Tamandua tetradactyla: one gene and its partner. The protein of the gene in region 2 binds, or shares a complex with, the protein of the main gene of each other region. Links are inferred from orthologs where the notes say so. Each region holds a gene or a part of one and is shown on either strand. Other genes may lie near its edges.

What was found.
Region 1: the proteins of TNPO3 (region 2) and CIRBP are in contact, whole or in part, in a crystal structure (PDB 8CMK), measured with the Homo sapiens proteins. The link is inferred for Tamandua tetradactyla from reciprocal best matches to the Homo sapiens genes TNPO3 and CIRBP. Residues at the interface, in NP_036602.1 of Homo sapiens: Arg620, Glu660, Arg661, Cys663, Arg664, Arg667, Phe668, Arg671, Ser698, Cys699, Tyr702, Ser705, Ile706, Asp709, Glu710, Asp747, Asp750, Asp751, Arg754, Arg758; in NP_001271.1 of Homo sapiens: Tyr160, Arg161, Ser163, Tyr164, Asp165, Ser166, Tyr167, Ala168.

What each region holds. Positions count from the first base shown.
Region 1 is NC_135337.1:81,719,896-81,727,547, reverse strand, and holds CIRBP (cold-inducible RNA-binding protein), read left to right. Parts: upstream 1-4,563; 5' UTR 4,564-4,698; intron 4,699-5,668; 5' UTR 5,669-5,733; coding exon 5,734-5,836; intron 5,837-5,913; coding exon 5,914-6,020; intron 6,021-6,108; coding exon 6,109-6,247; intron 6,248-6,339; coding exon 6,340-6,421; intron 6,422-6,610; coding exon 6,611-6,758; 3' UTR 6,759-7,058; downstream 7,059-7,652. UniProt on the Homo sapiens protein: Cold-inducible mRNA binding protein that plays a protective role in the genotoxic stress response by stabilizing transcripts of genes involved in cell survival. Acts as a translational activator.
Region 2 is NC_135327.1:170,509,710-170,516,755, forward strand, and holds the start of TNPO3 (transportin-3), read right to left. Parts: upstream 3,071-7,046; 5' UTR 2,706-3,070; coding exon 2,586-2,705; intron 1-2,585. UniProt on the Homo sapiens protein: Importin, which transports target proteins into the nucleus. Specifically mediates the nuclear import of splicing factor serine/arginine (SR) proteins, such as RBM4, SFRS1 and SFRS2, by recognizing phosphorylated SR domains.

The sequences.
Region 1 (7,652 bases), on a different chromosome or scaffold from region 2:
TGTGGCACTGCTGCTCCGGCCCCATCTCAGGGGAAGCATCTGAGACCCAGAGAGGGACCTGAGGGCCACCTGCCTGTCCAGGTGATCTATGGGAGCCAGTGGTGGTCCATCCACATGTTCCGTGGGCACGAGGGTGGGTGCTGGGTCCGCATGTGTATATGTGGGTGCTCTCCTGGTGCCCCGGGGCGCGCATCTGGGCGTGCCTGCTGCATTCATAGATGCTTTGGTGGGCACCCACTATGCCCCTCAGGTATGTGCAGCTGCCCTGGTAGTTGTGGGGAGACTCAGTGACATCCCCAAGCCCCAGGGAGGCCCCTTTCTGTGCTGCCTAGGGCTTGCAGGGAGCCAGTATGTAGGTGAGCATGTGGGGCTACTCTGGGGGTAACTTCTGCAGCCCCTGGGGCCCACTCCTTGGGAGCCAGAGGCCACCAGTTCCCAGACTCTGCATTCCACAAGCACTTAATATGTGTGCTAAGTGTGGATGCATTTCGCTGCATGTAAATGCGTGTCGCCGTATGTTCCCGGCTTGTCTGCTAACCCATTTGTGCCTCATTTTCCCTCCATACAAGTGGTCCCTATCAGGGTCTCTGGGGGCTGCTTGGCCCACACACTGGTGAGCTTGGGATGTGTCCACGGCACGTACCAGGATGTGTGATGCTGTGTGCAGTCCCGGTTTCTCCATGGCGCATGTGTGGCACATCTAGGGCCCCCCCCCCCGGGCTCAGGCAGAGTGTGTGCTGGGCTGGGGTGGCCTGGCCTGGGCGGGGGCAGATTGGCCTCAGCGGCCTCCACATTCCTGAGCGGTGACTCAGGCCTGTGGGGAGGGGTGAGTCAAGTTGGGAAGCTCCAGCCCAGTGTCCTCTGCCTCAGCAGGGACCCCTTCCAAGGCAGAAGACGGAAACCAAGGGCCTCCCTCATGACAGGAAGCACAGCCTCCTGTGTTCCCAGCTCACAGGCACCTGGGGCCTCCTAGGGACCTGGGAGGTTCCCACCTGTTGGTGCTGGTGGCAGCAGGGGAGGAGGGCAGGGTTAACCCTTCCTCTGATGGGCTTCTGGCCTCGGGTTCCTGCTCCTCTTCCCTTTGGGGCCCTGGGCTACTGCTGCTGACACGCTGCACAATGCCCATCCCAGGGCCCTGAGTCACGCGACCAGGCCCTGCCTGGAACATGTGCTCCGGGGTCCCTGCTTGCCTGAGTCATGCACATGCAGCCTGGGCTGGGCTGCTTCTGGTCTTCCACCTGATGGCAGATGCCACCACGGAGACATGGAGGGCATGCACCCCTGCAAAAGTGTTCCCACCGCCACATACCCACACACAAGCAGTCTCACATACACCCTTCCACGCCCAAGTACACGCACATCCACATAGCAGATTTACGCATTTCCACGCCATGTGCGTGCATGTACACCTGTGTCCGGGGTTTCATGAAACACACTTCTATACCTGTATGCACACTCATTCACACACCAGTAATTTCACACATTTCCACACCCATTGGCACTCACACCCACACTCACGAGTGCCCTGGGTTTCACACACCCTTCCACACCCTAGTGCACACACATACCTGTGTCCTGGATTTCATGCACACACTTTCATCACACACCCACACACCTGTGGCTTCTCACACAAACTCACGACCATGTGCACACCCACCCACACACGAGTGCCCTGGGTTTCACACACATCCTTCCATGCCTGTGTGCCCTTGCACCCACCCACCCACTGCTGCCCAGCCAAGCACGTCTGGAGTCAGCTTTGCTTGTCCACCTGTGTACCCACGGGTCCCTGTCGACATCTGCTTGCCCACGGGCATGCACGCACGCACACGTCCGCGTCTCCTACCCCCACCCTGGCGCTGGTCCCTGCGGATCTGAGCCTCTGAGCCGGCCTGGCGGACTCGAGTCGGGGCCAGGACCGCCCCACGTCTGCGTCTCCGCCGGCGGCTTCCAGGTGCACCGTGGGCCTCCGCCTGGCCGGGAGGGGGCGGTAATTACGCGGCCCCGGGGTGCCCACCCCCCCACGAGCCTTTCATCCCCGGCCACACCCGTCCCGGGCCCAGACGCTCATTATCACCTCGCGCCCGCTTATTAGCCGGGTTTGCGAAAGGACCCGGAGTCCCGCAATCCCCACCTCGCGCGGGGAGGGAGGAAGGGGCGGTGCGAGAGCCAGGTAGCCCCGCCCCATCCCCCAGGCGACGCCTGCACCACCCACGGGGTGGTCCCTGGTCGCGCTGGATGCGGGGAAACGGCGGGTCTGGGGAAGGGGTGCGTTGGTGGATGAGGCAACCCGGGAACCCCCGGCTTAACGCCCCAGGCTCCAAGGCTGGAGAGGAGCACCGCGCGCGGGCACCCTCAGCCCGGCCGGGCCAGAAGACCTGAGCCTTCCGGCCTCCGTGTGAGCACTGGCCTGGGGTCGCGGTGTTCCCAGCCCGCGGCTGCGCGCACTGGCAGTCTTGGAGGAGATGGGGGAGGGGGCTTCTCTCCCACCCACTCAGGGGGGCCGAGTCGCGCGGCCTGAGCGAGGGGCGGGATCGCAGCGCCCCCAAGTGTCCGCAGCGCAGAGCACGCCCGGGCCAGGGCCCGCGTGATGCAGCAGTCCCGGCAGGAAGCACAGAGATAAGGGTAGTTTCGGACCCCTGGGAGCCCCTCGCAGCGACGCGCAGTGCAGGGTATACGCCGAGTCACAGGTACACACAGACGTAGGTAACCACAGAGACACAGGTACCGAGACAGGTACACACCTGAGGCCCAGGTACGCAGGGAAGACACCCGGCACAGTCCAGGTGCTCCGGGCAACAGGTAACCCCCTGTGCCCCTCACCGTCACGGGACACAGGCAAACTCCTCTGCAGGTTCACATAGAGCCCAACATGGAGGGGGCTGGTAGTAAACGCTTGACAAGCATGTGTCGGCAGAAAGAATGAATGAACGCGGGGCGCTGCACGAAACCAGGAACCAGAGAACAATGGGAGGGGACATGGAGGGCGCCCCTGGACCGGGGCTGCTACAGAGCCCCCTGGCCTGGTCCTGAGCGAGCAGCAGCCCTTTCTGACTGAAAGGGTGGGCTACCTGTCCCCAGGCCTCCGGGCTTCCCGGCGGCTCGGGTGGGTACAGGGCCCCCCTCCATGGGTGGCGGGTGGGGCCGAGAGTTGACATCTCTCTCTGCGCATGGCTGACGCAGGAGCTGCTGCCACGGCGGTCTGGGACTCACGTGCCGGGCTGTGGCGTGGGGATGCACGGTGCCGAGGGAGCGAGGATGGGTCATGGAAGGGGAGGGGGCCCCTGAGTCGACGGGATTCCCGCGACCTTGGCTTCGCCCTTGTATCCCCTGCTGTGAGAGTTAGCCAGACCCACTTGTGGCTGAGAGACATGTCTGGGTGAAGCTGGAACTCGTCTGGGGTCCGCTCCAAGGAAGGGTCTCTGGTCCACGTCGCCCCCTGAAGCTTTATGGAGGCAGGATTGTACCTTGGGCCACTGGTCTGGACCAGCAAGAGCTCTGTACTACTTTCTCTTACTCCAGGAGGGTCCAGAGCCACAAGAGCGGCAGGGTTCCCACAGAGCTAGTTCCCCTGATAGCAGAGGTCTTGAGGACCCTCCAGGACCTCCACCTCAACAGCGGATGTCTCTGAAAAGACAGGCAAGTCAGAGGGGTGTTAACAGAGCACACCCCTGACCGTCCCCCCCAGGAGAGAGCATGCAGCTTGTGGGGGTGCAGAATCCCGTGGTGGCTGCCTTGTTGCTGGCAGGGGGTCGAAGGCTGAACTGAGCGTTGGGGAGCATGCTGAGGGGCCTGGACTGAGATGCACAATACCCCGCCAGGCAATTTTTGGGACATAGGCGACTCATTGGGCTCAGGTGATGTCTGAGCTTGGTAGGGAGATAGGTATGGCTGCCTATTGGGGTTTGTAGTCAAACTGGCTTGGCTGAAGATGTGACGACCAAAGTCTTGTGTACTGAGAAGACGTGGATACTGATGAATGTTGAGGTTCACATAAATTGAGATGCGTCTGAATGCTGGGGCGAGGCTGGGCATTGGGGTCGATCGCGTGAAGCCGTGTACCCACGGGGTTTGGGTTCCTGGGAATACTGGGGTGCCGTTTTTGTGGGCAAGGTACCAGAAAGATGTCGCGGTAGAGATGAAGTTGGGGTGTCTGGGGGATAGAGCTTGGGTGGGTATTGGGATCCCAGTTAGGTCGGGATGTCAGCAGTTGCTGGAGTACAGCTAAGGTCGGGGTGCAGTAGACACCGAGAACCCCTCTAGGTTACGGCCCCTGGAGGTAGCGGCGGGAGACCCCTTTGTTCCCCGCCTCAGGCCGAGGGGTGGAGGGGCGGGCACGCGGAAGTGGGTCAGCCCCGCCCCCAGCGCGCTGGCCCGTCCCCGCGCACGCAGACGGGGAACTGCGGCCTCCTGGCCGGAACGCCCCCGCCAATCACCGCTCCTGGTTCCAGCGAGGCGGAAGAGGCGGAGCCGGAGCTGGCCCTGCCCCTCAGTCATGAATATGAGGCGCGACGTCGGCCATCCGCGCCCCGGATTGGCTCGTGTGGCTCAAGGGGCGGGCACAGAGGCGGGGCCCGGAGGCGGCATATATAAGGCCGGGCGCCCGCGGCCCCCCCTTCACTCGCGCGTTAGGAGGCTCGAGTTGTTGTACTTCGTCTGTGTCTTCTCGCCTGCTTCAGGGACCTGCCCAGCTCAGTGGTGAGGCCCTGGCGACGCCGGCGCCGAGCAGCCCGGGCGGCGGGCGGCTTCGGCAGGCCAGGCGAGGCGGGGCCGCAGCGGCACGCCCCTGGGAGGGGGCGGTGGCCGGGGCGGGCCAAGGCTGGCGTCCGCCCCGCCGGCGGCAAGGGCAGCGGGGAACGGGGCCGAGCGGCGGCCGGAGGGCGTGCCCCCCGCGGGCTAAGGCCGCTGGTGAGCGGGGCGCTGCCGCAAAATGGCGGCCGCGGGCTCTAGGCTGCGCCCAGCGAAATGGCGGGAGCGCCCGAGTGCCCGGATGGAGTGGCGCAGGGCGTGCACTGTGCGCATGCGCGCGAGGCGGAGCCTGGGCGGGGCGGGGCTCCGGAGCCCGGCGCTCTTTTCTCTCGATCCTAAGTTTCCGTTTTCCGATGCTGGGGTCGCTCGAGGGGGAGCATGCCCGGTTATTCGGGCCCTAAGTCTCTTCCCGGCCGCTCTTTTGGGGGCTGCTCCGCGCTGGTTCGCCCCTCCCGTCTGGTTCCCCCGCAATGGCCAGTTGGGGTCACCGCGCCCTGGGCGCACCCTCCCCGGGCCCTGCAGAGGTCCTGTTTACAAAGCTGGCCCGCTTCAGTACACAAAGCACCTTCCCACCCAGCAGCCGACAGAGAGGTTAGGTGGGTCCCTCGGGTAGCTAGGGAAGAACCTAAGCCCCTTCTATGCAAAAAGGAGAGAGTAGAGTGCACTCCTGTCCCTAGATACTTCCGCATGAGAATACCTGTTCTCAGCTCTAAAGGGGCCATGAGGGGCATCCACCTTGCTGTACAGGGGCTGAGAGGCCCGGCTCTGCCCAGGAAGCCTTCGGCGTGGGGGGGGGGGTAGTGGGGTATGTGTGTTGGGGGCGGGGGGGTGGCTAACAGATTTATTTGAATTTAGAAGCCCTGGACATAGATTTGAGATGACATAGGTGCAGGAAAATGATTTTTTGACGTCTTCCCAGAGCACACGACGTTTGTATAAAACAAAACGGGCGGGGAGGCTGAGGCTGTGTCTGCCACAGGCATCATGGCATCAGACGAAGGCAAACTTTTTGTCGGAGGGCTGAGCTTTGACACCAACGAGCAGTCTCTGGAGCAGGTCTTCTCCAAGTATGGACAGATCTCTGAAGGTGAGCTGGTTGTGGGCTGGCTCGCGCCTGGTCCTGGGGAGAGCTAGGCATTGATTGCAGGTCTCTCTCCTGTACAGTGGTGGTTGTGAAAGACAGGGAGACGCAGCGGTCACGAGGGTTTGGGTTTGTCACCTTCGAGAACATCGACGATGCCAAGGATGCCATGATGGCCATGAATGGGAAGGTGAGGGGCAGATGGTGGGGTTGGCAGAGCACCACCCTGTGGGTGGGCAGACTGGAGGCTGACTAGCCACCTCTTCTCTCTTCTCCAGTCTGTAGATGGGCGACAGATCCGAGTTGACCAGGCTGGGAAGTCATCCGACAGCCGGTCCCGCGGGTACCGAGGTGGCTCTGCTGGGGGCCGGGGCTTCTTCCGCGGCGGCCGAGGCCGGGGCCGTGGGTTCTCCAGAGGTGAGTGCCAGGCATAAGGCCAGAGGCATGTGGTGGCAGTGCTGGCAGGAGCTGTGCTCACACCATCATCTGGCCTGTTCGTGTCTGTGTAGGAGGAGGGGACCGTGGCTACGGGGGCAGCCGGTTCGAGTCCAGGAGTGGGGGCTATGGAGGCTCCAGAGACTACTACAGCAGGTGAGGGATGCCAGTTGGTGTCAGGGAGGGAGATCCAAGTGAACCAGGGAGGGGAAGTGGCCGATCAGGGCTTTGGGTGGGATGCGGCTTTGGGTCATCTGTAGGTGTGGCCAGAGAGTGGGCTGGCAGGGGCTGGAGGCCAGCAGCTCCACAGGTCCTCTCTAATACCTCCATGTGTCTTTCTCCCAGCCGGAGTCAGGGTGGCGGCTATGGTGACCGGAGCTCTGGCGGGTCTTACAGAGACAGCTATGACAGTTACGGTAAGGCCGGCTCCGAGGGCGCCACACTATGTGGCCTGCGGTGGGAGCCCGGTGCCCCTTGGCGCCCCTGCGAGTGACTTAGGCTCACGCTCAGATCTTACCGCTGTGCTTGCCCCTAAGAAACCAATCTTTCCTCTTGGTGCCAGGAGCCATTTCTACCACAAAACAAAAAGCAAAAGCAGAGCCAAGCACAAGTCCAGAAGGAAAGGGAGAGAGGGAGCCGGCATGCCGGCCTGAGTGCATGTGGGGGCCGGAGACGGCCGCCCTCAGCCGGGGGGTTGGTGCTCTCGAGGTCCAGGCCCCGCCTCCAGGCTCGGCCTCCGGGGAGTGAAATGCTGCATCTTGTCGCTGACCTCAGTGCCTTTACACTGTACTTGCTTCTTGTCCTCAGCTACACACAACGAGTAAAAATCCTTCCTGCTCAAGATCGTCCTTCCAATGGCTGTATATTTAAAGATTTTGGGAGCTTCGCTGAATCGTTAATGTGTAGTGAACACACCTCCTTGTATTTCCACTTTTGTAGTCACATCAGTTCTGATCTTGTCAAACGCAGCCTGACAGCTTCTGACCCCCGATGGCCTAGTTAGCAGACTTAATTTTTTTTAATTTTTTTAATTTTTTGAGGAAGCGCTGTTCGTTTTTAAAAGTTTTAAAAACGTTTTGAAAAGCACTTCGGATTTTACTTTTTTCTTTTTATCATGAGCCATGTGTTTTTTTAAATCGGTGGGGTTTGTGTGGGTTTTTTTTCCCTTTTTGGGGGAGGGAGGGGGTGTTGCTTTTTTGTTTCTCTTTTTGGTGGGGATGGCCCTGTGATGTTTGGGTACCCCGATTCCCTGCTCTTTGAAACGGAGAGGACTCTGAATCCACTCTTTATCGGAAGCTGAGCAAGCTGTGGCTTTTTCCCAACTCTGTAACGTTTCTGAGTGTAGCATGGTAGGACGGCGGCCCCTGCCTTTCCGTCCCGTCTGCAC
Region 2 (7,046 bases):
AAAACAAAGTGTAATATTCAAAGTCAGAGCTACAAATTTAGAAATATTTATTATGCACTTGCAGCCTAGGAGCTGATTTTAAAGAGCTGAGCATTTTTTTTTTTTTTTTTTTTAAAGGAAAGACAGAGAGAAGGAAGGAAGGATAGAAGGAAGGAAGGAAGGAAGAAAGGGAAACATTTTTAAACATTTTCTTGTTTTATTGTATTCTGTTTCTCCGTTTTTGTTACATGGGCTGGGGCCGGGAATCGAACCGAGGTCCTTCGGCATAGCAGGCAAGCACTTTGCCCGCTGAGCCACCGCGGCCCACCCAGAGCTGAGCATTTTAAGTACCAGTTATGAGTTTTAAAAAAAGGGGAGGAGGAGGATTAAAAAAAAAATTCTTGGGAGCATAAAATGCAAACATAAGAAAAGTAGTTTGTCGGTTTGTATCAGCCGCTTCAGTTTCCAAGATACTTTGCAAACACAAACTCACAAAGAAATAAAGGACAGCAAAGTAGAGTGTAAAAATCAGGGAGAGGAATCATAAGATACCTGAAACAACTAATATAATAGGTTATAATTAGAGGTAATAAAGGACTTTTCTCAAATGCCTTAGTGGATGCTCACAATATTTCTATGGAATAATCAAGGAAGCTATTATACGCATTTTACCAATGAAGAACCTGAAAGTCAGAGAAGTGAAAAGGCCAGAAAACCACTATGCAGCAAAATGAGATTTTCTGAAACCAGAATTGATATTTTTTAACTTACACTGTATCACACCCCAAAACAAGGGGAAATTCATATGCATAAGAATCTGGAAACCTGAGAAGTTTCGAGAATAACAGACTCAAACTAATTTAGGCGAGGATTCAGAAGAGACAGTCCTTCCTGCTTCAGCCTGTGAGCCTCTCCTATGGAGTTCATCCAGACCCTTCAAGTGAGTTGTCAGCTTCACAGCCTGCTCTGCGGATTTTGGACTCTTCAATTCCCACGGTTGTCCAGCCAGCCTCTCCTGAGAGTTTGCTGAGAAACTTCATCAGAGCTACTAGCTTGTGGCCTGCCCTACAGACCTTGGACTCTACATCCCCATGACTGAAGTGGTAAGAGATCTCTTAGAGTGTAACCAGGTATGCTATTATCCAGCATGTCCTAAAGAAGGGGAAGAATGGTTGGCCTGAAAAAGAGACATGTAACCTGGAACACTGATGCCCTCCAAATGGAGTTCTAAGGAGGAGCTTTGATTACTACTGCCAAAGGTGAGCGCTTTATTGCACAAAGCAATTCAGCTATTGATATGCCCACATTACAAGAAAATGGCAGTAGAAGTCCCAGGAACCCTGAGCTATTCAATCAAGTGGTGACAAACATTTACCCAATATCAGTAAGTCAAGAAGACTACCATACTCTGCCCTCAGAGAATGGAAATGGAACTATCACTTATGGCAGCTGAATAATAATTTGGGCCACAACGCCGTGGAATGGACAATTGGGCTTGATGAGGCCTTTAAATCAAGAAGTGTGATGTGGAAAACCAAACCAAATGATAAAATCTTTAAAGACCTGTAACAAGTTATCAATGGATAATACATAGTACATAGCACAGCAAAATTGAGAAGGGAAAATGATTCTAGCCTACCTACTCATCTTTAAAGAGTACCATAAGATTGAATAGTTAATGCATGCATGTTTTTAATGCCTTCATCATTTTCAGGAAAATAATTATAAATACACATTATTAGAAAAAGGTCAAACCTCATTATTGTATGGAAGATACTGACAATAAAAATACTGACATCATATTCATTTCTATCCCAAATTTGCAGGGATATCCAGAGACTTCTTAGACATTTAATTTGTGTCAGATTCTAAATGGTGGAGTTTCTTGTTTCAAACATTTAGTTTCCCATAAGAACACTTTAACAGGTAACATTTGTGATTAGTAGCATATATCTTCTAAAATTTGTTTTATTATCAGATTAAAATTGGTGTTTTAAAGAGCTTATGTTCTTTCGGTTAAAATTAGTCCACACTAATGGTATTTTGGTTAAAAGAATTTCTTTTCCTTTGTGTTCAGGTGGTTTTTGGAAAATTTGCTTAATAGTTCAATATTAAAGTTGTATTTTACTAAAAAAAAAAGAGAGAGAATCGAGGAGAACAGTAAGGTGTGAGTAAGGTAACGATTGGGAAGGAACTGCCAGATGCAACACACGGGTAGGGAGAAGAGGCTGATAAAACATTCCTAAAGAAAAAGACGGAGATGGGATTGGGTTGAAGGAAGACAAAACGGGAAAGCAGGGCTTAAGAAACAGTAAGGTTAGAACTTAGAGAACCAGATCGATGTCACAAGCAAGAAGGATAGGACACACAAATCAGATTCTACGGGGTGAGAAAAGGGCCAGTTCGCGACCGACCGACCGACCGACCAGCTGCGATTAGCTTCCGAGAAGCAGCAATAAGTAGCTTCGCAGCCCCACCCCGCGGCAGCAGCTCCTCCCCAAAGAGGACCTCACCAGGCCAGTTGCCAGACAGCGGCTACCCCCTCGAGCCTAGAGCCCACTTCACCAATGCCCCGCGGCACAGAACGGCCTCTCTGGGCCCCTCACCGAACGCTGCAGCTCCCCAAGCCAAAAGGAGGCGCGCTCCTTTCCGCTGGGATCTGGGTCGTGGTAAAGCGCCTGCACTGCCTGATACACGAGCTGCAACGTCGGCTTTGTCCCTTCCATGGTGGAGGCAACAGTGGCGGCAGCGACGGCTGTGGCTTTTCTCCTGAGGCTTCTCCAGTAGCTCCGCCTTCGCGTTTCCTCACTGCCTCGGCCACGGCCGCTCCCTGACTGGCGCCATCTCCTCCTCTTTGGCCGTTACCAGGGCAGAGGGGTTCCCAATGGAAAGTGACCCCTCGGAAACAGCAGTGAGACCGTATTCAGGTTCCTGCCCTTTTTTCCCCGATTCTCCCACTAGGCTCCAAATTTCTGAGTCCGGACGCTGATGCCCCACTCCTCACCCGCTAGCTTTCCCTCAGAAATCTATCGCCGCCTGACAAAAACCTCGGAGTGTTCCTAAACCGCGTTTACCCGGACCGGAAGCGGCGACACCTATACCTTTGGCACACTTCCGCCTTGTGCACTGCGAACGGACTCCTTCCCGACACGCCTCCTCCGTGTCTCCCCGCCTCCTTCCGGAAGTGACCCTGCCGGTTCAAGAACGCAAGCAAGGGTTTGGTTTTAGTGTTCTTCGTTTTTTTTCTCCGATTCGAGGTTTGGGACCGATGTGCACCCCGTCCCTTAACCGCTCTCCTCTCCTTGGTGATGAATCCGAGCTCTTTCTCTTCCCTCATCAGGAAATCCTTCCTGGCCTGTTGCATAAGGCGCGTCAATTCAACCCTCCCCAGTGTCCATTGTACTGGAAACGGAAACATGGCTTAGTACAGATTCGTGCGTTGTCTCTATTTTTAATCAAATAATTTTTTTCAAATTTGAAATAGATGCCACATTGAAATAAATGCAAAATATCTAGAATCCCTGTTTCGCTCCCCTTTCCCACTTAAGTCTTTACACCCAAAGGGGCCTTTCATTTTACTACTCAGGACGCTATGAACTCCTGAGCACTTATTTGCATACATCTTTAGGATCATTTCCATAGTGAATTGTAGTTTTGTGCATACCTTTCCGAATCAGTGGTCTAAAAGGGGGGAAAGATAAGGTATCAGTGGCTAAGAGAGTTCAAATGAGTGAAGAGGCTATTCTGGAGGCTACTCTTAGGCAAGCTTCAGCTAGATATGGCTAATTGCTACAATTTGCCAAACCCCAGCCAACATCATTCCTGTTAACTCTGAAGAACGGCCAGGGCTCTATCTGAGCTCTTACAAAAGTTGATGCACTAAGTTTACTTTTCAGAAACCTAAAACCTTCAGATACTTCCTGTGCCAGTTAAGTCCTGAAACCCAGAGATGCCAGTCTCTCCAAGAACATCAACTAGTTCCATCCCCCATCCCATGTTGTCCACACCCTTTTCAACATGTAATGTTACAATGGGCATAATTCAAATATCCCTAAAGATTGGGAGAAGGATCAAAGGAGAAGGAGGAGTTATAACACGGAAGTTAGGGTTTAACAAATGGGTAGGGCTACTGAATCATTGTGTTGATATTTTGTTTTTGTTGTTGTTTTTTTTTTTTTTTTTGCATGGGCAGGCTTGGGAAATCAAAACCAGGGTCTTCAGCATGGCAGGCAAGAACTCTGCCTGCTGAGCCACCATGGCCCACCCTTAATATTTCTTTTTAGTCTCCAGTGTCTTGGAGCAGCTAGAAGGAAAGTCCTGAAATTGTGGAACTGTAACCCATACCAAACGTTGAAATCTGCTCTATAACTACTTGTTAAAATTTATTTTGAAATCTAATGCTTTTTAATATATATGTTATATTTCACAATAAAAATGTTTTAAAAATTCAGTGGTCTAACTTTCTTTGCAGAAATGGAAAAGCTAGACATCATATTCATAGGGAAAAATAAGCAGCCCAGAATCAACAGAACTATCTTGAAAGAAGAACAAGGTTGGAGGACTCACATTTCCTTATTTTAAAACTTATTACAAACAACTATTACTAAACAGCTTTGTACTAGCACAAGGACAGGCATATAGACCAATAGAATTTGAGGGTTCAGAAATAAACTCTCACACCTTTGGCCAACTACTCTTTAACAAAGATGTTATGCCCACTCACTGAACATTACATAATGTTTCTTCAACAAATAGTGCTGCGACAACTGGACAGCAATTTGCAAAAGAATGAAGATGGACCTCTAGTTCACACCATATACAAAATTCAATTAAAAATCAATCAAAAACCTAAATGTAAGAACTAAAACTGTAAAACTCCTAAAAAAAACACATAGGGAAACCTTCAAGACCTTGTATTCAGTGGTGACTTCTTAGGCTTTATACCAAAGGCATGAGCAAAACAGGAAAAAATAAATGGGACTTTTATCAAAATTAAAAACTTTTGTGCATCATAGGATACCATCAAGAAAATAAAAAGACAACCCTGAAAATACTTGCAAATCACACCTGATAAGAGTTTTGTATCTAAAATATATTTTTTAAAAAACTCTTACAACTCAATAAAAATAAGGCAAGTCATTTTTTAAAATGGTAAATGCTTAAATAGATACTTCTGTAAAAAAAGATACACAAATGGCTAGTGATACACGAAAAGATGTTCAACATTATTAGTCATTAGGAAATGCAAATTAATATTACCAGATACTACTTTACACCTACTAGTATGGATAAACTTAAAAGACAGAAAATAACAAGTGTTGTCAAAGATGTGGAGAAATTGGAGCTCTCATAGTTTGCTGATGGTATTGTAAAATGGTGCAGCCTCTTTGGAAAACAGTCTGCTAGTTCTGCAAACAATTAAAGTTACCATATGTCGAGGACTTCTGGAGAAGATGGCGACTTAGTAAGACGCGCAGGTCTTAGTTCCTCCTCCAGAACAGCTACTAGAGAAGTTGAAACGATTCAGAACAGCTCCCGGAGCCACAACACAGACCAAGAAGACAGCGTACCCCATTCTGGAATGGCTGACTGGGTGGAAGCACACGCTCCGGTGAGATCGCCGAGGGGCGCGGGCTTCCCCGGGCCGGGGCGGCAGGCAGCCGGGGTCCCTCCCTCCCTCCTTCCCGGGCTGGCTGGGAGAATTGGACAGGTGGTCCCCTCAAGCCGCGGCGGCTGGCACCACCCCCACGCGCGGCCCCTGGACCAGCTGGGAGAATTGGATCGGAGATCCCCAAGCCGCGGAGAACAGCGAACGGGGTCCCTTCCAAACACGTGGCTTCCCGGTCCGGCTGGGAATGGTAGATAGACACTTCCCCAAGCCGCAGCGGCTGGCGCCCCCCCGCCACACTTGGCGCCCCAGACCAGCTGGGAAATTTGGACAGGTGTTCCCCCAAACCGCGGAGGCCGGTGACCCTCCCCGCGTGCGGACCCCCGGGTCGGCTGGAGATTCGGATTGGCACTTCCCCAAGCCACTTCGGCTGGTGACCCCCCCCATATAGAGAGTTTTCCAAAGTTAAAGGAGCCACAGCATCTTTTACTGGTGGGACTCGCAGACAGATGAGCGCCACGAGTGCCACCTACTGGGCAGGATAAGAAACACAGAGCCTAGAGATTTCAAAGAAAAATCTTTCAACGTGCGGGGTCTTACACCCAAGGAAATCTGATTAAATGCCCAGACGCCAGCAGAAGATAACGAATCATGCTCAGAAAATTGAAAATATGGCCCAGTAAAGGAACAAACCAATAGTTCAAATGAGATACAGGAGCTGAGACAACTAATGCTGAATATATGAACAGAAATGGAAAACCACTTCAAAAACCAAATCGATAAATTGAGGGAGGACATGAAGAACACATGGGCTGAACAAAAAGAAGAAATAGAAAAACTGAAAAAACAAATCACAGAACTTATGGGAATGAAGGACAAAGTAGAAAAGCTGGAAAAAACAATAGATACCTACAATGGTAGATTTAAAGACACAGAAGCTAGAATTAGTGAATTGGAGGATGGAACATCTGAATTCCAAAAAGAAACAGAAACTATAGGGAAAAGAATGGAAAAACTTGAGCAGGGGATCAGGGAACTGAATGACAATATGAAGCGCACAAATATACGTGTTGTGGGTGTCCCAGAAGGAGAAGAGAAGGGAAAAGGAGGAGAAAAACTAATGGAAGAAATTATCACTGAAAATTTCCCAACTCTTATGAAAGACCTAAAATTACAGATCCAAGAAGTGCAGCACACCCCAAAGAGAATAGACCCAAATAGGCATTCTCCAAGACACTTACTAGTTAGAATGTCAGAGGTCAAAGAGAAAGAGAGGATCTTGAAAGCAGCAAGAGAAAAACAATCCATCACATACAAGGGAAACCCAATAAGACTATGTGTAGATTTCTCAGCAGAAACCATGGAAGCTAGAAGACAGTGGGATGATATATTTAAATTACTAAAAGAGAAAAACTGAAACCAAGACTCCTATATCCAGCAATATTGTCCTTCAAAAATG